3 linked regions of the Stegostoma tigrinum genome follow. The protein of the gene in region 1 interacts with the protein of each later gene in a biochemical or structural test. Links are inferred from orthologs where the notes say so. Each region holds a gene or a part of one and is shown in the gene's direction. Other genes may lie near its edges.

Region 1 (8,199 bases):
ATTAATTAGTTTGAAATCCTGACCGACTCCTTCTTTTGCTAAGATTTGGCAGACAGTGGTGGTAGGGATTCATAATTCATTTGTTGTCTCGTATTTCACATTTCCGCAATGCCTTTTCCCACTTCAGGACATCTCAAAAGCTCTTTCCAGCCAATTAAGTAGTTTTACAATCTCAATACTGTTGTAATGTAGGAAATACAAAGCAAGCCCTCACAAACAGCGATAAGTTAAACAGTCAGATGTCTTTGTTAGGGATGTTGGATGAAGGATAATTAAAGTTCTGGTTGTTGAGAACATCCTGCTCTTCTTCAAACAATGCCTTGGATTCTCACCCATATGTTAGAACAAATGGGACTTCGAGATAACGTTTCATCCAAAATTCAGTGCATCCAACAGTGCAATTTTTCCCTCGGTCCAGTCCTTGCAACAGTGCAAGGCTCCATCAGTGCTGATCAGCAATAATGAAATGTTTCCTCTAAACTGACCATCCAGTGGTGCAGCACTTTCTCAGAACTAACCTCCCAACAGTGTAGCACTCCCTCAGTACTGTCTCTGCAACAAAGAAATGGTGTCTCAGTACTACCCTCCAACAGTGCAATACTTCCGCAATGCTCCCTCAGACCTTTACTTCAACAGTATAGCAATCCCTTAATGAAGCCCCTCCCAAAGTTCAGTCCTCATGGTACATTCCCTCAATCCCGCTCCTGGAAGATTGCAACACTCTCTTACACTGTTCCTGCAACATCGGTCTCTCAATACTTTACTCTGATAGGGCACCATTCCCAAGGTACTGGTCAGGGCTGAGGACAAAGGCACATCAGGGCTCAATAACTGGAGTCGGAAACTTTTGGGGTCTGTTGAGCTTGCGTTGGGGGGTGTGGATGGGATAGTTGTGCTTAACTTGTGGGCAGGGTCACTTGGCTCATGCTAGGTATGGGGCCAAGGTTGGAGATCTAAGCCATGAGCAGCACCAGGCCCCATATTTCTGTTTCTGCATTTATCAGAGTTGAGTGGTCCCTCAGCGCTGCCCCTGTAATAGTGCAGCACTCCTTCAATATTGTCACTCCAGCTGGCTGATTACCCTTAATACTGCCCTTGACAGTGCAGAGTTATTCAGGTACTGATGCCCCAAGTGTGTAACACTGTCTTAATTCTGCTCCTCCAATAGTGAAGCAAGCCCTCAAAGCTGACCCTCTGACATTATAGTGATTTCCCCCAGACTGTACTTCGACAGTGCAGTGTTCCCTCAGTACTGCAATGGAAAATCAGCTAAGTACTTTTGCTGTAGCTGCTGGAACTTGAATAGACAACCTTCTAACTCAGCAGCTAGATGGCTACCAACTGAACTGATAACGCTGCAGTCCTGAGATCTTGACAGTCAGTGGGCTCTCTCTATAGCTTGGAGGAATAGCTTTCCCTTTTTATTCTTCTCTGGCACTGAGGCCTTTGTTCTGGAGGATAAACCCCATGCCCACATCTCTTGCATTCTATCTCCACTGCAGCCTCCCTGTGTATCCTCTATCTTCCTGTCACCTCATTCTGCTCTCTCTCAATATTCCTGCAGCACTATTACCAATCACTGCGCTAGTTAATAGGTTACCAGAGATGGGATAGAAGAAGGGGAAATGGTTGTATTATGAGCAGTCTTAGCAACTCATTGATCAGACATTGACATGTTAATCACAATTTCAAATTGCAGACAATGCAAGTCCAACATTTCTCTGCTTAATATGGTCAGGAATGAGATTGGGGATGTGTGTGTTAAAACGTTACTACATTGTGTACCTACAGCACAGCTGTCAGCCACACCTTGTAGTGGTCTGGCTTTCCAAGGGTTGGGTGCGGAACAATGAAAACCACGAAGATATGAGGGGATCTCCAAGCATTCAATCACCTGGTATAGAACTGACACTCAAAGCTTGTGACTCAGAGATACTGGTTATCCACTGGTTCAAAGAGAAAGTTAACTAATTTTACTGTAGGTAGAAGTTACTAACACTGATTACTTGATTTATTGCTATCACCATTATAATCCAGCATGATATCTTGAATATTTTTCAATAAATCAGGAAGCAACTTCGAGTCTGATGGAGGGTCCTTTTTCAGCTTCTGATGAAGGGTCTAGGCCTGAGACATCAGCTTTCCTGCTCCTAAGATGCTACTTGGCCTGCTGTGTTCATCCAGTTCTACACCTTGTTATCCCTTGAGTCTGATGGAATTTAGTTGCCAAAAACGTTCATCTCCTCCTCCTCCTTTTGTTTCACCATGGACAGACTTGACTTCAGCTGTTCTCAACTTAAATTCAGAAATTTACTACTGATACATCTCTCTTTTCTCTTTCAAAAGCCAGTTTTCAAGGCCTTATGGTTTGGAATTTCTTCCCTTTGCACCTCTCTCGCTTCTTCCTTTAAAGCCATATTCCACCTCTTTAACCAAACCCCTCCATGCCATTGTTGATGCCAAGTTTTTCAGCTTCTTAGAATATCATCTCAGCTGTTAATTTACACCACCTTGTGGCATTGTGTTGATGGAGTCCCTGACTTGAGTTGGAAGAGACATAATTTCTCACCAATTGTTCAGAATGCATCTGCTGCTAGACTTCAACTGCTATGTCCAGGATTGACTCCTGAGCTGCACATAGGATAAGCTACTTGATGTGGTTTTCAACCAAACTGAGGTCGCTGCAGTCACTGCACAGGATACTTACCACCGTATGATCCCAGTGCCCCTCATCAGCCCCAGTCATAAACTACTTGATTGTCAAATACATTGATTGCTAATTTGGTTTCTTTGTTTCAGATCAGAACACAGCATCTGATTAAGAGAATAAAGAACATCCTCTTCTGTTTCTGGTTGCAGAATGACCTCTACAGATCGGTGGTTTGGATCTGTCCAGATCATGCAGGCAGCTGAGGAACATCCACACATTTATCATTGCAATGGTAGTTATTCTTACATTGCACTAAGGAATGGTTTGTGTAGCATCTCTAGTGTGATTTAGGTGGGTTGTTAAGGATGCTAATATCTCAGTATTCTCGGCCTCCAAAGCATATTATCCGTGTGCATATATTCTATACAGATGTAATCTGCACAATTTAAAGGCTTTTGGGTGAATAATTGATATCTCCTCCTCCCCAACAGATGCATGTGCAGAATGACATGGAGATAACAGACTGGCAAAAGGAGAATGCTCTCAGCCGAAAGACAAACTCAATGGAATGGGGTCCACGACTACTATCAATGATTTAAAAGAAAACAAAAAACTTTGGATGCTGGAAATCAAGTGATTATTGCAAAATCCTGTTTGATTCATTGATGCCCTTTCGGGAAGAAGATTTGCCATTCTTACCTCATCTGGCTTACGTAAGATTCCAAACTCATAGCAATGTGGTCAGTACTTAAGTGCTCCCTGAAATGGCCCAACAAACCACACTGTTCCAAATCAATTAGGGATACACTATAAGTAATGGCCTTGCCAGCAGTGGCCACATCCCAGAAAGGGATAAAGAAAAATAATTGTGGTAACTACAACCGTGAAACAGTAATGTTTCAATCAGGTGGTATGCAGTGTAGGGGGAGCTAACCAGGCTGTGCCTGTCCCAGTTTAAACTTGGGAGATTGCACGTTGGGGTTAACTAACTCCTCAATCAAACTGGTGACTGAACAGAGATAGTAAGAACTACTGATGCTGGAGTCATAGATAACACAGTGTGGAGGTGGAGGAACAAAGCGGGCTAAGCAGCATCGGAGGAGCAGGAAAGTTGATGTTTTGGGCCAGGACCCTTCTTCAGCTTTCCTACTCCTCTGATGCTGCCACACCTGCTATAATCCTCCAGCTCCACGCTGTTTCATTGGTGACTGAATAGGCCTTGCAGCAGTCAGATATCTAACCTGAGCACTTCTTCCTCCTATAATAGTAATGCTGGCCTGTAAATTTGAATTTAGTAGGAGATACATGGCAGTGCTCACACTGAACATGTTACATTCGCGCTGTTTCAGAAAGTTCACAAACATTAAAAATTTACCTCCAGCCAAGTGTTTGTTACCCAGGAATAGTTGATTGCAGTGGCCAGTGTCAGTTCAGATAACCCCGGGTGCGTTTATCTCTACTGAGTTAATGTAGTTCGTTACAATTGGATTGGGCTAATTCAGTTAACCTGGATTAATTCTTGTAGCCCAGGTTACCAAAACCAGAGCAGTAATTTAGTTATTGCAGATGAGTTTGTTTGGTCTTGGTTAAAACAGCTTGAATTGAGCTTGAATGCAGAGTTCAATGCAGTTTTTGTTCAGTTAGCCTGGATTTGTTGTATTAATCCAGAATAAAGTTATTAGCCAAGGTTAATCAATCAGGATTAAAACCAGAATTTTCCACAATGCTACCAGACCTGCTGAGCTTTTCCAGCAATTTTTATTTTTGTTTCTGATTCCAGCACCCACAGTTTTTTTCCCCTGATTTTATTTAGCTCATCGGGATGATTTTAGTCTGCCAAATTTGGTACAAACTAACCAGATTGGTTAAATAATTATCCCGGATTAGTTAATATAGGCTAATTTAGTTAGCTAGGGTTGTTTTAAATGAAACGGGTTACTTAAAGCTAGCTACTGAATTTAACCCGGATTAGTTTAGTTTGCTAGGGTGCGCTAACCTGGACCATGTGATGACATTTCCCCCCCGGGCAAGAACCCGGAAGTTGAGTTTGGCGAGAATTACAAACATTCTGGGGTAAATTCGAGGAGGGCGGCAGAAACACCACCTTGTAAAAGGATCAAATCCAAATTCTCTGTTCTGAAGTTTCTAGAAAGAGTGAAGAAGAGACACAGAAAGACCCCAGCCCGCAGCGTGCCTTGGGTAAGCGACTTTCCCCCCGCCCCGCGACCCGTTTACCTTTCCTAGCGTCTGTCTAAATCTCCACTTTACCGTGGGTTTGCTGCAAGTCATTGGAGAAAATCATCTCTCACCGTAATTACCCAAGGGAAACCGGTCAAAGAACTCATTGGCTTGTCTTGACTTCATATTCAGCATATCTAGAGGGACGGGTTACAGGAAGTTGCTCTCTCAGTCCACCAGTGTGTCCTATCTGAGTCAGCCAGTGATTCCCATAATCTCAGATTGCATCGTGGCCACACTTCTCGGTCTGCCAGTGTCTCCCCGAGTTTCCATCTGCCAATTATTTTCTGAGCCCGAATTTACCAGTGTGACCCTATCTGTCAGTGTCTCACTCTGCCAGTGTGTCAGTGTCTCAGTCTACTATTGTGTTTTTGAATCTCATTCTGTTAGTGTGCCCTTGTCTCTCAGTCTGCCAAGCCATCCACATCAGTAAATATGGTATCTCTGTCAACCAATGCATTCCTGTCTCTCTGTACAATATCAGGAAATCGCAAAAGGCATTGTTATAGCCAGAGCTGTGGGCACTGTCAATATTCTAACAAGAGTACTAAGCACTTGTGTTTTGTCATTAGCTGTTCCAGTGCAGCTGCTACACTGACAGTGTGGAAAATTGTCCAGTTATGTCTTGTGCGCTAAGAGCAAGACAAACCAACTCGGCCAATTACAACACCTGATGCCCACCCTACCCCCAATTGCCCATCAATCTCCTCTTGATTGTTGATAAATTGGTGGAATGTGTCATCAGTTGTCATTGTTATCAGCACAGAAAATGAACAGAGCATTAGATAGAGTTATTTGAAACTGTTAAACATTGCATAAATGAGTTTTTTGCTTCTGTCTTTACGAAAGAAACGAACTTTGTAGTGAATGAAACCTTTGAAGAGCAGGTGTGCATGCTGGAATGGATAGAGATAGAGGAAGCTGATGTGCTGAAAATTTTGTCAAACATTAAGATTGACAAGTCGCCAGGCCCGGACCAGATTTGTCCTCGGCTGCTTTGGGAAGCAAGAAATGCAATTGCTTCGCCACTTGCGAAGATCTTTGCATCCTCGCTCTCCACTGGAGTCGTACCTGAGGACTGGAGAGAGGCAAATGTAATTCCTCTCTTCAAGAAAGGAAATAGGGAAATCCCCGGCAATTATAAACCGGTAAGTCTCACGTCTGTCGTCTGCAAGGTGTTAGAAAGGATTCTGAGGGATAAGATTTATGACCATCTGGAAGAGCATGGCTTGATCAAATACAGTCAACACGGCTTTGTGAGGGGTAGGTCATGCCTTACAAACCTTATCGAGTTTTTTGAGGATGTGACTAGAAAAGTTGATGAGGGTCGAGCTGTGGATGTGGTGTATATGGACTTCAGTAAGGCATTTGATAAGGTTCCCCATGGTAGGCTCATTCAGAAGGTCAGGAGGAATGGGATACAGGGGAACTTAGCTGCTTGGATACAGAATTGGCTGGCCAACAGAAGACAGCGAGTGGTAGTAGAAGGAAAATATTCTGCCTGGAAGTCAGTGGTGAGTGGGGTTCCACAGGGCTCTGTCCTTGGGCCTCTACTGTTTGTAATTTTTATTAATGACTTGGATGAGGGGATTGAAGGATGGGTCAGCAAGTTTGCAGACGACACAAAGGTCGGAGGTGTCGTTGACAGTGTAGAGGGCTGTTGTAGGCTGTAGCGGGACATTGACAGGATGCAGAGATGGGCTGAGAGGTGGCAGATGGAGTTCAACCTGGATAAATGCGAGGTGATGCATTTTGGAAGGTCGAATTTGAAAGCTGAGTACAGGATTAAGGATAGGATTCTTGGCAGCGTGGAGGAACAGAGGGATCTTGGTGTGCAGATACATAGATCCCTTAAAATGGCCACCCAAGTGGACAGGGTTGTTAAGAAAGCATATGGTGTTTTGGCTTTCATTAACAGGGGGATTGAGTTTAAGAGTCGTGAGATCTTGTTGCAGCTCTATAAAACTTTGGTTAGACCGCACTTGGAATACTGCGTCCAGTTCTGGGCACCCTATTATAGGAAAGATGTGGATGCTTTGGAGAGGGTTCAGAGGAGGTTTACCAGGATGCTGCCTGGACTGGAGGGCTTATCTTATGAAGAGAGGTTGACTGAGCTCGGTCTCTTTTCATTGGAGAAAAGGAGGAGGAGAGGGGACCTAATTGAGGTATACAAGATAATGAGAGGCATAGATAGAGTTGATAGCCAGAGACTATTTCCCAGGGCAGAAATGGCTAGCACGAGGGGTCATAGTTTTAAGCTGGTTGGTGGAAAGTATAGAGGGGATGTCAGAGGCAGGTTCTTTACGCAGAGAGTTGTGAGAGCATGGAATGCGTTGCCAGCAGCAGTTGTGGAAGCAAGGTCATTGGGGTCATTTAAGAGACTGCTGGACATGTATATGGTCACAGAAATTTGAGGGTGCATACATGAGGATCAATGGTCGGCACAACATTGTGGGCTAAAGGGCCTGTTCTGTGCTGTAATGTTCTATGTTCTATGTTCTATGTAAATTTTAAAGAAAGAGGTTGAAGATTCAGTAGCCACGTGGCACAAGTTCAAGGTGACTAACAAAAGAACACAGTGAAAAGTTATTTTGCAATAACTGATTTGGGTTTGGAATGAATAGTCTTGGGCTGCTTTAAACAGAATCAATATTTTTTGCACAAGTGAACTGCAGAATTACTTGGAGCAAAGATTGAGGATGCTTGTTAAGGAACAGGGAATAGGAATAACTGGATTGTTTGTCAGGAACTGTCATGAACTTGATGAGCTAAATGGCTGTGCAATCATTTTCAATTTCATAAAATCACTACAATGTGGAAACAGGGCATTTGGCCTAACACATGCACACTGCTTCTCTGAAGCGTCCCACTCAGACCCATGTTCCTACCCTAAGAACCTGCATCTCCCATGGCTAACATACTTAATCTACACAGCCCTGAACACCAATAAACCAGCACAGCTTTGGACTGTGGGAGGAAATCGGAGCACCTGGTGGAAACCCACACTGATGTAGGGAGAACATGCAAATTGCACACAGACAACGCCAGAGGGTGGAATTGAACCCAGGTCCCTGGTGCTGTGAGGCAGTAGTGCTAACCACTGAGACACTGTGCTGCCCAATGATTCAATGACAGTGCTTTCAGATACCACATCCTCACCAATAACCCTCTCACCAATGTTTCGTTAGGTTTCCGCCAGGGCATTTGGCTTCTGTTCACATTGCAGCTTTGTTCCAAACACTGATGAGGGCTGAATTCAAAAGGTAAGTTGAGAATGACTGCTCCTGACATTAACGCAGCATATGACCAAG
Region 2 (8,240 bases), on another chromosome or scaffold:
GAATATCATTAATTTCCAATCATTTGAAGGAGCTTTGTTTATAGTTAAATGATCACACAGTAACATTGGAATACTGCACAGTCGGAGGTTCAGTACTAAGGAGCACCGCTCTGTCAGAGGGTCGGTATTCAGTGAGTTCCGCACTGTCACAGGGTCAGTGCTGAGGGAGCATCGCACTGTCAGAGGGTCAGTGCTGAGGGAGCATCGCACTGTCGGAGGGTCAGTGCTGAGGGAGTGCCGCACTGTCACAGGGTCAGTCCTGAGGGAGTGCTGTACTGTCGGAACGTCAGTGCTGAGGGAGTACTACACTGTCAGAGGGTCAGTACTGAAGGAGTGCCACAGTGTCGGAGGGTCAACGCTCACAGATGGTCGCACTGTCGGAGGGAAAGTACTGAGGGAGTGCGGCACTGTCAGAGGGTCAGTGCTGAGGGAGTGCCGCACTGTTGGAGGATCAGTGCTGAGGGAGTGCTAACTCTCACAGGATAAGTACTGAGGGAGCACCGCACTGTCAGAGAGTCAGTACTGAGGGAGCACCGCACTGTCAGAGGGTCAGTGCTGAGGGAGTGCCGCACTGTCAGAGGAACAGTTCTGAGGGAGTGCTGCACTATCTGAGGGTCAGCACTGAGGGACTGCCGCACCGTCACAGGGTCCATAAGACCATGAGAACATAAGACATAGGAGTGGAAGTAAGGCCATTCAGTCCACTCCGCCATTTAATTATGGCTGATGGGCATTTCAATTACACTTCCCTGTTCTCTCCCTGTAGCCCTTGATTCCTTGTGAGATCAAGAATTTTTCAATCTCTGCCTTGAAGACATTTAATGTCCCGGCCTCCACTGTACTCCGTGGCCATGAATTCCACAGGCCCACCACTCTCTGGCTGAAGAAATATCTCCTCATTTCTGTTTTAAATTTACCGCCTCTAATTCTAAGGCTGTGCCCACGGGTCCTAGTCTCCCCGCCTAGTGAAAACAACTGCACAGCATCCACCCTTTCTAAGCCATACATTATCTTGTAAATTTCTATTAGATCTCCCCTCAACCTTCTAAACTCTGATGAATACAATCCCAGGATCCTTAGCCATTCATCGTACGTTAAACCTACCATTCCAGGGATCATCCGTGTGAATCTCCGCTGGACACGCTCCAGCGCCAGTATGCCCTTCCTGAGGTGTGGGGCCCAAAATTGAACACAGTATTCTAAAAGGGGCCTAACTAGAGCTTTATAAAGTCTCAGAAACACATCACTGCTTTTATGTTCCAACCCTCTTGAGATAAACAATAACATTACATTCGCTTTCTTAATCACAGACTCTACCTGCAAGTTAACTTTTAGAGAATCCTGGACCAACACTTCCAGATCCCTCTCTACTTCTGCTTTATGAATTTTCTCACCGTTTAGAAAATAGTCCATGTCTGTATTCTTTTTTCCAAAGTGTAAAACCTCTCATTTGCTCATGTTGAATTTCATCAGACATTTCCTGGACCACTCTCCTAAATGGTCTAAATCTTTCTGCAGCCTCCCCACCTCCTCAGTACTACCTGCTTGTCCACCTATCTTTGTATCATCAGCAAACTTCACCAGAATGTCCCCAGTCCCTTCATCCAGATCATTAATATATAAAGTGAACAGCTGCGGCCCCAACACTGAACCCTGTGGGTCACCACTTGTCACCGGTTGCCATTCCGAAAAAGAGTCTTTTATCCCAATTCTCTGCCTTCTGTCAGACAGCGAATACTCAATTCAAGCCAGTAGCTCACCTCGAACACCATGGGCCCTCACCTTACTCAGCAGCCTCCCATGAGGCACCTTATCAAAGGCCTTTTGGAAGTCTGGATAGATAACATCCACTGGGTTTCTCTGGTCTCACCTACTTGTTACCTCTTCAAAGAATTCTAACAGGTTTGTCAGGCACGACCTCCCCTTACTAAATCCATGCTGACTTGTTCTAACCCGACCCTGCACTTCCAAGAATTTAGAAATCTCATCCTTAACAATGGATTCTAGAATATTACCAACTACCGAGGTTAGGCTAATTGGCCTATCAATTTCCATCTTTTGTCTTGATCCCTTCTTAAACAAGGTGGTTACAACAGCAATTTTCCAATCATCTGGGACTTTCCCAGACTCCAGTGACTTTTGAAAGATCACAATCAAAGCCTCCACTATTTCCTCAGCCACTGTCTCAGGGGGTCAGAGCTGAGGGAGGGCCGCACTATCTGAGGGTCAGTCCTGAGGGAGCGCCGCACCGTCGGAGGGTCAGTACTGAGGGAGTACCGCACTGTCAGAGAGTCAATGCTGAGGCAGTGTGGCACTGTCGGAGGGTCAGTGCTGAGGGAGTGGGCACTGTTGGAGGGTCAGTGCTGAGGGAGCACTGCACTGTCGGAGGGTCAGTGCTGAGGGGGTGCCGCACTGTCGGAGGGTCAGTGCTGAGGGAGCACCGCACTGTCAGAGGGTCAATGCTGAGGCAGTGTGGCACTATCGGAGGGTCAGTGCTGAGGGAGCACTGCATTGTCAGAGGGTCAGTGCTGAGGGAGCGGGCACTGTCGGAGGGTCAGTGCTGAGGGAGCGCTGCACTGTGTGAGGGTCAGTGCTGAAGGAGTGCCGCACTGTCGAGGGTCAGTGCTGAGGGAGCACCGCACTGTTGGAGGGTCAGTGCTGAGGGAGCACTGCACTGTCTGAGGTTCAGTTCTGAGGGAGCCCCGCACTGTCAGAGGGTCAGTGCTGAGGAAGTGCCGCACTGTTGGAGGGTCAGTGCTGAGGGAGCGCTGCACTGTGTGAGGGTCAGTGCTGAAGGAGTGCCGCACTGTCGAGGGTCAGTGCTGAGGGAGCGTCGCACTGTCGGAGGGTCAGCGCTGAGGGAGCACTGCACTGTCGGAGGGTCACTGCTGAGGGAGCCCCGCACTGTCAGAGGGTCAGTGCTGAGGAAGTGCCGCACTGTTGGAGGGTCAGTGCTGAGGGAGCACTGCACTGTCGGAGGGTCAGTGCTGAGGGAGCGTCGCACTGTCGGAGGGTCAGCGCTGAGGGAGCACTGCACTGTCGGAGGGTCACTGCTGAGGGAGCCCCGCACTGTCGGAGGGTCAGGGCTGAGGAAGTGCCGCACTGTTGGAGGGTCAGTGCTGAGGGAGCACTGCACTGTCGGAGGGTCAGTGCTGAGGGAGTGTCGCACTGTCGGAGGGTCAGCGCTGAGGGAGCACTGCACTGTCGGAGGGTCACTGCTGAGGGAGCCCTGCACTGTCACAGGGTCAGTGCTGAGGAAGTGCCGCACTGTTGGAGGGTCAGTGCTGAGGGAGTGGGGACTGTCGGAAGGTCAGTGCTGAGGGAGCGCTGCACAGTCGGAGGGTCACTGCTGAGGGAGCGCCGCATTATCTTATACAGATTGTTCCTAGTCTTGAGCTCCCCACAAATAGAAATCTCTTATTAATAGGAATATATGCAGCAAATTGGAATTCCCAAACTGGAATCAAACTTTCGTTTGTCCAAATTGTTTGTGTAAATTGTGGAAAGAATGAGCCCAATACTAGCCCTCGTACAGCACTTGCCACTAACCGCCACTGGGAAAACTATCCTTTACTCCAACTCTTTGCTTGTTGTTTAGAAACCAGCCAGCAATCCATTCGGCCCCTTGGGAATCTGCAACCCCTGTACTCCCCCGGCAACAACCTGGGAAACTGCAGCATCCTTTCTTCCCCGGGGGCAACGAGGAGAATTGCAGACACCTCCCACTGCCATTAGTCCCCTGCCTCCAGCTTCTCCCTATTGGATGGGTGCTGCCTAGTGGGTTCAGTTTCCCAGCTTGTTCCTGGATCGGAGTGGGGGTGTTGGAGTCACAGTTGAAGCTCCAAAGGTGAAGATACAGGGGACTAAAGTTCCCAAAACGGAAGTGAAGGTGAAAGGGCAGATTCCCAGGTTGTACTAGAGGTATTAAAGAGTGAAAGAAGTCCCTGTAACTGTGAGGAAGCGTGAAGGATTTGCACTCGCCCATGTTTTCCGGCGGAGTGAGGGGTTTGGGGTGTGGCGGGGGTGTACCGCCGTCTCCCCAGGGGGAGTGACAGGGCTGCAAACGCCCCCTAGATAGAGATCCCACGCGCAGGTTGTCCCAGGGTAAGAAAAGATCAAAGACCTCCTTGTTTCCCCCAGGGGGCTTGTGGGGTCTGCAGGTCCCCTCCCTTCTGCCCCCGGGTAGTGAGGGGGCTGCAGTTCCTCGCTGTTGCGATTAGGGGGAGTGAGGGGGCTGCAGTACTTCCCGATTGCCGCCAGTGGGAGTGAAGGGGATCAATGATAATGGGAACTGCAGATGCTGGAGAATCCAAGATAACAAAAGTGTGGAGCTGGATGAACACAGCAGGCCACGCAGCATCTCAGGAGCACAAAAGCTGACGTTTCGGGCCTAGACCCTTCATCATCTCTGGGGTCTAGGCCCGAAATGTCGGCTTGTATGCTCCTGAGATTCTGCTTGGCCTGCTGTGTTCATCCAGCTTCACACTTTGTTATCTGAAGGGGCTGTAGCTCCATTCGCTGCCTCCAGTGGAAGTGATGGAGCTGCAGTATCCCCTGCTGCCCCCATGAGGGCTGTGAGGGGGCTGCATTTCCCCCGGTTGCCCGCAGGAGGTCTGAAGGGGCTGTATTTCCCCCCGTTGCTCCCAGAGGGTGTGAGGGGGCTGCAGTTCCCCCCGTTGCCCCCAGGGGGTGTGAGAGGGCTGTAGTTCGCCCCCCCGTTGGCCCCAGCGGGTATGAGGGGGCTGTAGTTCGCCGCCCCCCCAGTTGTACTGTGAGGGTACTGCATTTCCCCCCGTTGCCCCCAGGGGGTGTGAGGGGGCTGCAGTTCCTCCCTTGCCCCCAGGGGGTATGAGGGGGCTGTAGTTCGACCCCCATTGCCCCCAGGGGGTGTGAGGGGGCTGTAGTTCGCCGCCCCCGTTGCCCCCAGTTGCATTGTGAGAGGACTGCAGTTTCCCCCGTTGCCCCCAGGGGGTGTGAGGGGGCTGCAGTTCCCCCCGTTGCCCCCAGGGGGTGTGAGGGGGCTGCAGTTCCCCCCCGTTGCCCCTAGGCGGGCGGGGAATTTCCAGCCGGGGAGCACTGGGCCCCGGGAAGCGGAGAGAGTTTGCCGGGTGTATGGAGTGGTGAGTGGCGGCGCGGAGCCGGTGGATTGTGAGTTGGGAATACATTGTAACTTGTGTCTGATAGCTTGTTGCTGGAAGTTGCTACTTTGTAGCTGGTGCAGGATTCGCTTTGACGGTGAGTTAAACCCAGTGAATGGTTCGCTCCTCACTCGGTCAGAGTGACTGCTCCGTTAGCCTACCCCTCTCCCTCAGTCCCAGTCCGCCTCGACATCTGCTTCAGTGCCGAGCGGCCGCCGACACCAGCGGAAGGCCCGAGTTTCCGCCTGAGGCTCTCCCTCACTTTCCTTATCCTCTGTCAATCCCTCACTCTCAATTCCTCCTCCTACTTCAATTCCCTCCCTTAATGTCTCACCCCCCCTTCTCACTGCGCTGTCGCCTTTTAAATCCCCTTTTCTCAGTGTGTGACTGTCTCTCCTTGTCTTTCAAGCGGACTCTCAGGCTGTTTAATGTGCTGATGATGAGTTATGTTGATCTTCATTCGTAAAACCATAAAAAGCAGGACCAGAAGTCGGCCACTCTGTCCATCGAGTCTAATCTGTCCTTCAGTGAGACCAGGCTGACCTGCTAATCCTCAGTTCCACTTCCTGCCTTTTCCCCATAACCCTTTGTTCTCTTAGTGATTAAAAATCTTGTCTGGCATTGCCTGAAAGTGTGGTAAAGGCAGAAACCCTCATAACATTTGACAAATATTTTGATGTGTGCTTGTGACGCCAAGATAGAGGAGGTTCTGGGCCTTGTGCAGAAAATGGGATTAAAGTAGGGTTATTTGGCCAGTAACCACTCCATGGACCAAAATGCCTTGTTTAGTTCTATAGGTCTCTCTGACGGTGTGATTGTAAGATTGCCTCACATTCTACTAAATGCTAGTGAGTACAGGCCTAACCTACTCAACCTCTTCCCCATCAGACAGTCTTCCCACACCCCATATCCGGGACCAATCAAATGAACCTTCCCTGGATTGTCTCCAATACTCTATATCTTTATACAGGCAAGGTGTCCAAAATGGTTCATTGTATTCCAGCTTTTGTAACTAACGACAAAAGGTTCAGAGAGCCGAAGGGCAGGTCAGTTATAGTTGAAAGGTGAAATCTGTAGGTCTCTTAATGTTGAGCTGAGTTAATTATTTGATCAGGGCAGTGTGAGGGGGCTGATTCTGAAAGGTATATTCTTGTTATGATGCTGTTCTTTAGTGTCTTAAAGCATGGTGATATTTCACTGTTTCATTCATCACAACCCATGTGAAGATGAAGAAGTGAAAGTGAGTGTTGGGTTAACTGTGGAGATTCTTGTTAATGCCAAATTGTGGAATAGGTAATATTTCCAAATAAATTGGTTCTAATGGTGTAATTTTTAGAAATTAGCATTTTTTGTGGATTAGTTGATGCTTGTTCAAGGATATGCTATGAATGATACTGAGGCTAATTAAAATGGTTGAGAAATAAGCACATGTACTTCAAAGTAAAACAATTGTTTATTGCAATATATAGAGAGTTTTTAGGTTGTGTAGCATCAGGCTGGTGTGTGAGAGAGAATAAGCCCTGTCTCTCAGAGTTGGTGGTCACTGGGTAAGATCGATGTCAGGCAGTACTTTGTCACTCAAAGGGAAAAAGTACCCCACAAAGAGCTGATCAAGATCAGAGTCTGTCACAAATTTCAAAACAGTGATCAATAGATATTTATTAGATAGGAGATTAAGATTATGAAACAAAGAATAAATAGTACCTTTTGTAATAAAATATCCCAAGTTCTCCTCAGGAGTATTGCAAAGCAGAATTTGACAGCTAACCACATTGGGAGGTATTAGGTTAGGTTACAGAAAACTTGGTCAAGGAGGTGGGTTTTGAGAAATATCTGGTGGAAGGTGGAAAATGAGACAGTGCTGAGAGTTTAAGGAGGGCATTCCAGAGTATATGGTCCAGACATTTGAAGGCATGGCCACCAACGCAAGAGCGTCTAAAACTGGGAATGTTCAAGAGGCTAGAATTAGAGAAATGCAGGGGGTCTGGGGTTGGAGGAGGTTACAGAGATTGGGAGGGGATGAGGCTGTTAGGTATTTGAAAACAAGAATGATATTTTAAAATAAAGAGGTTGCTTAATCTGGGGCCAGTTTGTCAGGGAGCCAAGGGGTGATAAGGAACAGGAGCCACTGAGAGTTATCACATGAACAGCAGAGTTTTGGACGGCCCCAAGGTCACAGAGGATAGAATGTGGGGACCAATGAGGAGTGTATTGGAGCAGCTAAGAAAGTCTAGAGGTGATTGTTTAAACATGAGGGATTCATGAATGATGAGCTGAGACAGGGTGAAGTTGAGGGATGTTACTGGGCTGGTAGTAAGTGGTCTTAGTAATGGTGCAAAGTAAGAGGTCAGAATCAGGATTTTATGAAAAACCACGGCTGTGACCGACTTAATCCCACAATGTTGTCAGGGTGAGAGAGGTGTTGGTGATTGGGAAACATTGTTTGGACTAGGAACTACAGCCAATGACTTCCCAATATTTAATTGAAGGGAATTTATGCTCATCCAGTTCTGGATGTTAACTCAGTAGTCTGACAGTTTAGAGAGAGTGGAAAAATTGAGAGCTGGTGATGAGGTCAAGCTGGGGTTGTCAGAGAACATAGTGAGAATGAACACTGTACTTTTACATGATGTCACTGAGCAGCAGCATGTAAATGGGAAATTGGATGAGGCCAATGATTCACCCAAAGTAGGTAAATACCAGCTTGTAAAATGGGAGCAAGAATAGGCCATTCGGCCCTTAAACCTGTTTCAGCATTCAACAAGATCATGATGGATCTGTTTGTGCTGTGAGTTTCACATTTCCCCATACCAGACATTCTTGTCAGGGAGGGGAATCAGTGTAACTCTGCATCATTGAATATTTTTAAGGCATTGCCTTCCAAAGTCAACCGTTTGAGAGAGAACAAAATTTTTCATCTCATGCACCCTAGTTCTGATTTGACCTACAAGAGGAAACATCTTGTCTGCATTCACCTTGTCAATGCCACCCAGGATGTTACACACTTCAATCAGGTCACTCCTCACTCTTCTGAACTCTAGGGGAAACCAACCCGGTCTGTGCAACCTATCCTCAAAAGAAAATCTGCTCATTCTAGGTGGC
Region 3 (8,703 bases), on another chromosome or scaffold:
TGATGATTCCTAATCAGTCTTTGCCTCTCTAAATGCATGTAAACCCTATCTCAGAATCCGCTTCAACAACTGGTCACCGGTCTATGGTGCCCTATGGTGCAACAATAACTCATCAGTCTATAGTTCCCAGGTTTCTCCTTACAGCATCTCTTAAATACAGATACATCATTAACCACCCTCCAGTCCTCCAGCATCTCAGTCATAGCTGTAGATGATACAAATATGTCGGCTAGGGGCCCGACAATTTCTTCCCTAACTTCCCACAACATCCTGGGATACATTTGATCAGATCTCAGTGATTTATCAACATTCTGTTGTAATATACCTCTGGAGCAGCTGGGACTTGAACCCAGGCCTCCTGGCCCAGAGCTGGGTGCAATGCTACTGTACCACAGGAGCCCCTAGACAAAAGGAGCAGATGGAATGTGAACCCACGTGTTCTGGCTCAAAGGTGGGGACACTGCCACTGCACTGCATGACCCCTTCAATACTTTTAATCAACCATTCAGATGTAATATGACACACCTCTGGAGCAAGTAAGACTTGAATCCAAGCCTTCTGGATCAGGAGTAAGGACATTGCCACTGTGCCACAAAAACCCTAGGACTGTACTTCTACATCTGCAGAAATTAACAACAGTGTTTGACAGAATAGTGATGACCTTGTAAACAGATTACAAAATCCCACAGTTGTAACATGCATGTCAGTATTTGACCACATATGAAATAGGGGAAAGGTGAACCATGAAAAATGCCACATGATTTTCTGAAGTTTGTCCCATTGATATTATGATATGTCTCAAGCCTAAAATATAACTGTGATCTTACGATTACTTCTCAATTTCAGACTCAGCAGAGGGAAAACTTGTAGTGTCACAATAATGGTAAACATGAACTATCAATGCTCAACTTCCACCACGTTCGTAATAGCTGAGACCCTTATAACGAAAAAGATTTTTAAAACAGAAATACTGACTTAAAATGGCTGTTGTTGTCACCTGACTACAGATTGTGGCAAGTCCAGGGAACCCATTCAGAATACATAAAATTGGCAAAATTGAAATTCTGCTTAATCTAAAATAATTGAAATCAGACAACCGAGTTAGAGTCAAGAAGTTTGGATCTACTGTTTAATTCACACTTGAATATTACTTTTCACCATTTGAACATAAAAGTGTTCCCTGCAACTATCCAACTTAAATAAACAATGAAAGCAGACTCACAAATACACAGATAGACTCTATTTCAGGGGCTTTTGAGCAGCAAAGGAGAAGGAAATTGGATTCCGAATTGCAGAACATGGAAGGTTTGTTCTCTCTTTTGCCTCCTGCTCCCACCTCTCTCCCCAATCCTTAACATCTCTTGGGAATTTTGGAAAAACAACCATTCACTAACAATTCCAGGATTCTACAAATGGCATTATGACTGAGGAAGAAAGACAACAGTTAAACAGTCATACACTCATGTTTAACTCTTACAACCAGAGGTCCCTAAGAAATTTAAACTGCATCTGAATATCTTCCTATAGACAGTAGATACCCTCTCCATCACTCTTAAATCTATTATCTTTGTTTGAGTTTGTGTTTAATATTGCATTTTTTTTTCCTCTGGGTTTGTAGATAATAGAATGGCTCTTTATTTCACTCAAGATAATCTTGATAATTCTTCCTCCCATTTTCTAGTGAATTACATTTTAATCGGAGTGTCATGGCTGTGTGCTAAATGAAAAATGAAAGATATTTCTAGTGGCTGAATGAGATGGGCTGACAAAATGGACAGCTGTTTCCTCATCTGTTCTTAACAACAGGAACACAGGAATCAGGAGTAGGTCATTTGGCCCACTCACGCCTGCTCCAGCGTTCAGCATTGGCTGATCTGATTGTGGGCTCAACTCTGCAGTTCTATCTCCTCCCACCCTCCAATAACTTCTAACTGCCTTGTTAGTCAAAAACCTATCTACCTTTGTCTTAAATTCAATGAACCTGTATCCAACCTCTCTGCGAGAAGTGAATTCCACAGACTAATGAAACTCAGAAAATAATCCTGTTAAACTCCATCTTAAGTGCAAGATACTTACTTTAAAACTGTATCTGTTAATTTTAGTCACTCCCATTAGGACAAATATCCTTTCAGCATCCACCCAATCAAGTTCCTTCAGGATCTCACAAAGTTCAATACAATTCTCATTTCTCCAACCTTCGAGTTTGAAAATTTGAAATAATCCCAGACTCTACTCTTGAATTTGTACATGTAAATGTGGGAGTCAGCGACAGTGAGCATGGACACATTACTCAACTAGAGTAGCACTCAGTAGTGAAGCACAGTAGTGGTACTGGCCAAGCACAGTAACCCAGGTTAATGTTCTGGGGGACGCAGACTTAATCCTAAATTGGCTGATGGTGAAATTTCAACGAAAACTTTAAAAGCCAGCTGAGTGACTATCATTGTTGATTGCTGCAAAAACCCAAAAATAAAACAAAGAACTATGGATGCTGAAAATAGTCATACAACATGGAAAATGGAGGCAATGGCCTAATGGTATTATTGCCGGACTGTTAATCCAGAGGCCCAGATAACTTTCTGGGGATAACAAAGTGTGAAGCTGGATGAACACAGCAGGCCAAGCAGCATCGCAGAAGCACAACCTGGGATTGGATCCGCTACGGCAGATGGTGGAATTTAGATTCAATGAATAGTTGGAATTAAAAGTCTAATGATGACCATGAATCCATTCTCTTTGGTGGAAAACCCATCTGGTTCACTAATGTTCCTTAGGGAAGGAAACTGCCACCCTTACCTGAGATAACGAGGTGCAGAGCTGTGTGAACACAGCAGGCTAAGAAGCATCATAGGATCAGGAAGGCTGATGTTTTGGGCCTAGACCCTTCATCAGAAATGGTGGAGGGGAAGGAGGTTCTGAAATAAATAGGGAGAGAGGGGGAAGTGGATAGAAGATTGATAGAGAAGAAGTTGCAGTGGGAGAGAGATCCCCTGAGGTTTGTCCGGAGGGAGGAGGATAACTTCTTCAGGGTAGGCATCCTTTGAAGAGGCTTCACAGTGGGGTTAAAATTGTATCAGAGGTAACAGGAACTGCAGATGCTGGAGAATCTGAGATAACAAGGTGTGGTTAAAATTGTATCGAGATAATAGGAACTGCCAATGTTTCTCCAGCATCTGGTTATTATCTCTGCTATCCTTACCTGGTTTGGCCTGCATGTGATCCAGACCCACAGCAATGTGGTTGACTCTTAACAGCCCTCTAGGCAATTAGGAATGGACAATAAATGCTGCCTAGTCAGCAACTCCCTCATCCCGCAAATCAATAAAGGTTAAAAAAAAGACCTTCGGTCCAATTAGTCCATGCCACCATAATGCCAACAAACCAACTATACATCCAACAAGATCCCTCCAAACATTTCTTATTCATGTACTTATTCCTTTTAAACATTGTAACTGTACCCACATCCAACACTTCCTCTGGAGGTTAATTCCACACACAAAATACTCACTGGTTTAAAAAGATTGGCTCTCATGTCTTTTTAAGATCTTTTTCCTCTCACCTTAAAAGACCCTAGTCTTGAAATCCCCATCCTTAAGAAAAAAGACACCTGCCATCCACTTTAGCTCATGATATTATAAACCTCTATACGGTCATCCTTCACGTCCAGTAAAGTCTCAGCCTGTGGTATCACAAATAAACTGCTGAAGGAGACTCACTGGACTGTAAACATTAAGTCCGCTTTCTCTCCACAGATGTGGAGGAATGGAATTGTGGGAGATATAACAGTTTGGATCAGAAATTGGCTTGCTGAAAGAAGACAGAGGGTGGTAGTTGATGGGAAATGTTCATCCTGGAGACCAGTTACTAGTGGTGTACCGCAAGGGTCAGTGTTGGGTCCACTGCTGTTTGTCATTTTTATAAATGACCTGGATGAGGGCATAGAAGGATGGGTTAGTAAATTTGCAGACAACACTAAGGTCGGTGGAGTTGTGGATAGTGACGAAGGATGCTGTAGGTTGCAGAGAGACATAGATAAGCTGCAGAGCTGGGCTGAGAGGTGGCAAATGGAGTTTAATGCAGACAAGTGTGAGGTGATGCACTTTGGTAGGAGTAACCGGAAGGCAAAGTACAGGGCTAATGGTAAGATTCTTAGCAGTGTAGATGAGCAGAGAGATCTCAGTGTCCATGTACACAGATCCTTGAAAGTTGCCACCCAGGTTGACAGGGCTGTTAAGAAGGCATACAGTGTTTTAGCTTTTATTAATAGAGGGATCGAGTTCCAGAACCAAGAGGTTATGCTGCAGCTGTACAAAACTCTGGTGCAGCTGCACTTGGAGTATTGCGTACAGTTCTGGTCGCCGCATTATAAGAAGGATGTGGAAGCTTTGGAAAGGGTGCAGAGGAGATTTACTAGGATGTTGCTTGGTATGGAGGGAAGGTCTTACGAGGAAAGGCTGAGTAACTTGAGGCTGTTTTCATTAGAGAGAAGAAGGTTGAGAGGTGACTTAATTGAAACATATAAAATAATCAGAGGGTTAGATAGGGAGAGCCTTTTTTCTAGGATGGTGACGGTGAGCACGAGGGGGCATAGCTTTAAATTGAGGGGTGAAAGATATAGGACAGATGTCAGAGGTAGTTTCTTTACTCAGAGAGTAGTAAGGGAATGGAACGGTTTGGCTGCAACAGTAGTAGATTTGCCAACTTTAGGTACATTTAAGTCGTCATTGGATAAGCATATGGACGTACATGGAATAGTGTAGGTTAGATGGGCTTGAGATCGGTATGACAGGTTGGCACAACATTGAGGGCCGAAGGGCCTGTACTGTGCTGTAATGTTCTATGTTCTATGCTACCAGACCTGCAGAGTTTCTCCAGCAATTTCTGTCTGTTGCTGGATAAAATTCCATCTGTCTTTTAGGGAAGGAAATCTCTTGTCCTTAACCGATCTGGCCTGTTTTCATGATTCCATACCCACAGCAATGGGGGCTGTCTCTTAACCTTCTCTACAACGGCTTTATAAAGCCAGTCCATTCCAGGGGCAATTAGGGATGGGCAATGACCGCTGCCATCAGCGAATAACAGAAGCAAAACACTGTCCCTCTCTCCACAGACACTGCCAGATCCGCTGAGTTTCTCCAACACTTTCTTTCCAGATCCTCAGCCTGAAACTTGCTCAAGTTGTTGTTGTCCTTGATAACGAACAACAGTCCTGATGAAGAGTCCAGATCTGAAACGTTGACTTTCCCACCCCTCTAATACTACCTGACTTGCTGGGCTCCCCCCGCCACCCACTCCGTTGCCTCTGACTGCCAGCACTGCAGTCTTTAAAGACTTGCTATCGCCAGGACTACAACTACCACAGGCCATTGCGGCGGGGGCAGCGTCTGCGCATGGGCAACGTCGTCTCCCTCACAGGGACCTGCCAGGAAAGCGCAATTCGATTGGTCCCTGGCCTAGCGGGGGAAATTCCCACCAGACAAAAGGGTAAACAAGGCGTCGGCCATTTTTGGTGAGGCGTCCGTTTCATCTCCGTGTCTTTCTTTCACTTTCCCGTTAAAGCTGCTGCTCCGCGGCGAGAGGGATGGCGGTTTTACCTCATAGATTTCGCTGATGAGTCGACTGGCGTCCTTTAGAATCGTGTTCAAGAGCGATTTTCATTATCACGTCGGGAGTCCAGAGAAAAAAACATGGAGGTTGTCCCGCAGCTGTCAAATGGCAACTCATCCAAACAGACGATCAAGCTGGGCACTGGTAAAGTGGCCGCGCCGTGGGGTGGCCAGGCCAAGTTGGACAGCCTGGGGCTACCCGCTGAGGTAGAGGGCGATGACTACTACGACAGTGGCATTGGCTCCCTCAGTGAGCTGCAGGTCAGCCAGTTCAGTGAGTTGGGTGGCGTTGACCAGAGTGTTGATGGTGGGGAGGGCAAGGATGGCATGTCCATGGGCACTGAGCCAGACATTTGCTTATCCACCCAGCGGTGGGCAGAGAGTGGCGTTAGCCAGATCACCCAGGGCATCGAGGATGTGAAACTGAGTGGCACCGGTCAGATCACCCAGGGAATGGAGCTGGGAAGTTCCCAAGAAGCAGTGAATGAGTTGAAGGAATTGCGCCACTACCGAACCGAAGACTTGGACTCGTGAGTATCGCTTGCATGAGGGGGTAATAAAGTGTCAACTGTGGGTGGGCATGGGGGTATGGGTTTACTTGGTTCCATCATTCCCAAGTACCAGATGCAGAAATACACCTTCAGCCCATGTGCTGGTATGCCCAGTACCAGCAACAATCCATTGTCAACTTTCAGATGAGGTCATTAAACCTGACTGGTGAATACAAAAAAAAAATTCTGGCACTATTTCAAAGACGTGTCTCTTAATCAGAAGATGGTGCGTTTAAGCCTCACTCCAAAGACTTGAGCGCAAGAATCAAGTCTGACATTCCCATTGCAGTACTGAGAGGGCATTGCTGTGTCAAAGGTGTATCATTTTTTGGATGAGATGCTAACTCAAGGATTTTATGGAGCTATTTGGAGGAAGAACATGAAGTGTCCTCTGTAGTGACCTAGTCAACTTTACTTCCTCTGCCAATGTTGCCACCAAGGGAAAAGATCATCTGGCCATTGTTTATTTTGTGGGATCTTGCTGTGTGTAAAACACCTGCTGCATTGACCTCTATTATACAGTGACTACCCTTTGAAAGTTTCCACGCAGTTCTTTGAAATCTGAGGTGATGAAAGAAGTTGAAGTTGCTTAATTCCCCTCTCAATATATTCCTGGAGGCAGTCCTATCTCTAACACCTAACCCAAATAGAATTTTTAGTTTCTGATGTACAATATCTTTATGTACAATTTAGTATTCAAAGGAAGATTTTTTTTTTAAAAGACAGAATTATTATTAAACAGATTGCAGCAGTTCAAGGAGGCAGCTCCAACACCATGTTCTCAATGGTAACTAGATATGGGCAATAAATGCTGGCCAGCCAGCAATGCCCACATTGCTGTGACTGAATAAAAAGCATTTTAAAAATTATTATGTGATGTGGTGACTGTCTTTTCTTTCATCTGTGACCTGGGTTTGAATTAATCGCTGTTGGTGAAAGTGATCCTATGTGAAATGTGGCAGTCTCAGTTTAACATTCTCCTAGGTCCACAGCACCAGACTTCCCTTTGATGAAAGTCTCATTTGTTGAGGCTGCAAATTGACTCTCTCAGAAATGTCACTCTCATGCAGTTGGAAATGGTTTTGGGACTCAGACATGTTTCTGGGCAGAGTAGAGGAGCTTGCATTTGTATTTTCTGGGAATAGTTAAAACTCATTTTGACTGCACAAATTTACTGGAATTTAAACATCCCTTGTCTTGAGGAGTGCCACATTCACATTAAATCAGTTTTAAAACAGAATACTGCAGAGATTCACATAATCTGATATACAGAAAACCCTGCTCTGAAATCACTCTTCCATTAGCAGCCATGACCCTAATCTCTGGAATTTCCTCTCTAAACCTCTCCATTACTCTACTTCTGTTTCCTTTTTTTTTAAAAGCATCTCTTTAAAACATAGATCTTTGCCTGAGCTTTTTTTCCAAATATTGCCTTGTTTAGCTCGATGAGGAATTTGCCTTTTGATTATCAAGGCAGCTGTTTTTGGTCAAGTTTTGCAAGGTGATAAGGTAACAAAATAAAGAACAGACTTGTATTTATGTAGCAACTTCTCATGTCCTCAAGCATCCCATCAAAATGCTCGGCTCGTAGATTATATTTAAAGTGTTATATTGACAAAATGGCAGGACGTTTCTGCAAAAAGCACTGATTGGTGATCTCCAAGTGATGTGCAAATACCACCTTAGACATAATTAGCCTCCCCGCTGAACTTTGAAATTTAAGATTACATATATACTTATGTTTCTTATATGTATAGCACCTTTCATGGCCATGGGAAATCATAAAGTGTTTTATAATCAATTAAGTGCGTTGTGACATGTATTATCTGTCATATTGTAGGAAAGATTGCACTAATTCGCACACTGCAAGCTCCCACAAACAACAGAGATGATGACTTCATTATATGCTATAGTGACATTTGTGGAAGGCAACATATTAGGACATTGAAATGAACTCAATAAAAACCAAAAGAACTGAAGATGCTGCAAATCAGGAATGTAGATAGAATTTGCTGGAAAAGCTCAGCAGGTCTGGCAGCATCTGTGAAGAAAAAAAATCAGAATTAATGTTCCAGGTCCAGTGACTTCCTCAGAACTGTTCTGAGATAGGATCATTGGACCTGAAATGTTAACTCTGACTTTTTCTTTGCAGATGCTGCCAGACCTGCTGAGCTTTTTCAGCAAATTCTGTTTTTGTCACTGAAATAAACTCGCCTGTGCTTCTTCAAAGTAGTTACCTGGATCTTGTACGTGCTCACTGTTGGGGAAGCAGTTAGGGACTTGGTATAATATTTTATCATAAAGATGTAATCTCTGGAGTTGAACCCCTCAGCCCTGCACTGAATTGTCAATCAAGATTTTCTGTGCATAGATTTTGTGGATAGGAATGTGCAAGGCTTTGCACTCTTTTGAGAGGCAATAATTAACAAGCTGTATCAACATAAACCTTAGCTTTGTTGATTGCAATGAGGGAACTATTAACATGTGACATTTCCTTAAGTTTGGCACACTCTACTCATTTGGTCACCAACTTTCTGTCATACTAT

The links.
Region 2: of the proteins of ikbkb (region 1) and nuclear factor NF-kappa-B p105 subunit-like, one has a biochemical effect on the other in vitro, tested with the Homo sapiens proteins (4 studies listed by BioGRID and IntAct). The link is inferred for Stegostoma tigrinum from reciprocal best matches to the Homo sapiens genes IKBKB and NFKB1.
Region 3: of the proteins of ikbkb (region 1) and NF-kappa-B inhibitor beta-like, one has a biochemical effect on the other in vitro, tested with the Homo sapiens proteins (2 studies listed by BioGRID). The link is inferred for Stegostoma tigrinum from reciprocal best matches to the Homo sapiens genes IKBKB and NFKBIB.

The regions. Positions count from the first base shown.
Region 1 is NC_081393.1:16,072,294-16,080,492, forward strand, and holds the start of ikbkb (inhibitor of nuclear factor kappa-B kinase subunit beta), read left to right. Parts: upstream 1-4,669; 5' UTR 4,670-4,849; intron 4,850-4,959; exon of another isoform or gene 4,960-5,074; intron 5,075-8,076; 5' UTR 8,077-8,151; intron 8,152-8,199.
Region 2 is NC_081354.1:1,700,274-1,708,513, reverse strand, and holds the start of nuclear factor NF-kappa-B p105 subunit-like, read left to right. Parts: upstream 1-5,003; 5' UTR 5,004-5,120; exon of another isoform or gene 5,121-5,235; intron 5,236-8,240.
Region 3 is NC_081392.1:14,791,088-14,799,790, forward strand, and holds the start of NF-kappa-B inhibitor beta-like, read left to right. Parts: upstream 1-5,466; 5' UTR 5,467-5,687; coding exon 5,688-6,136; intron 6,137-8,703. UniProt on the Homo sapiens protein: Inhibits NF-kappa-B by complexing with and trapping it in the cytoplasm.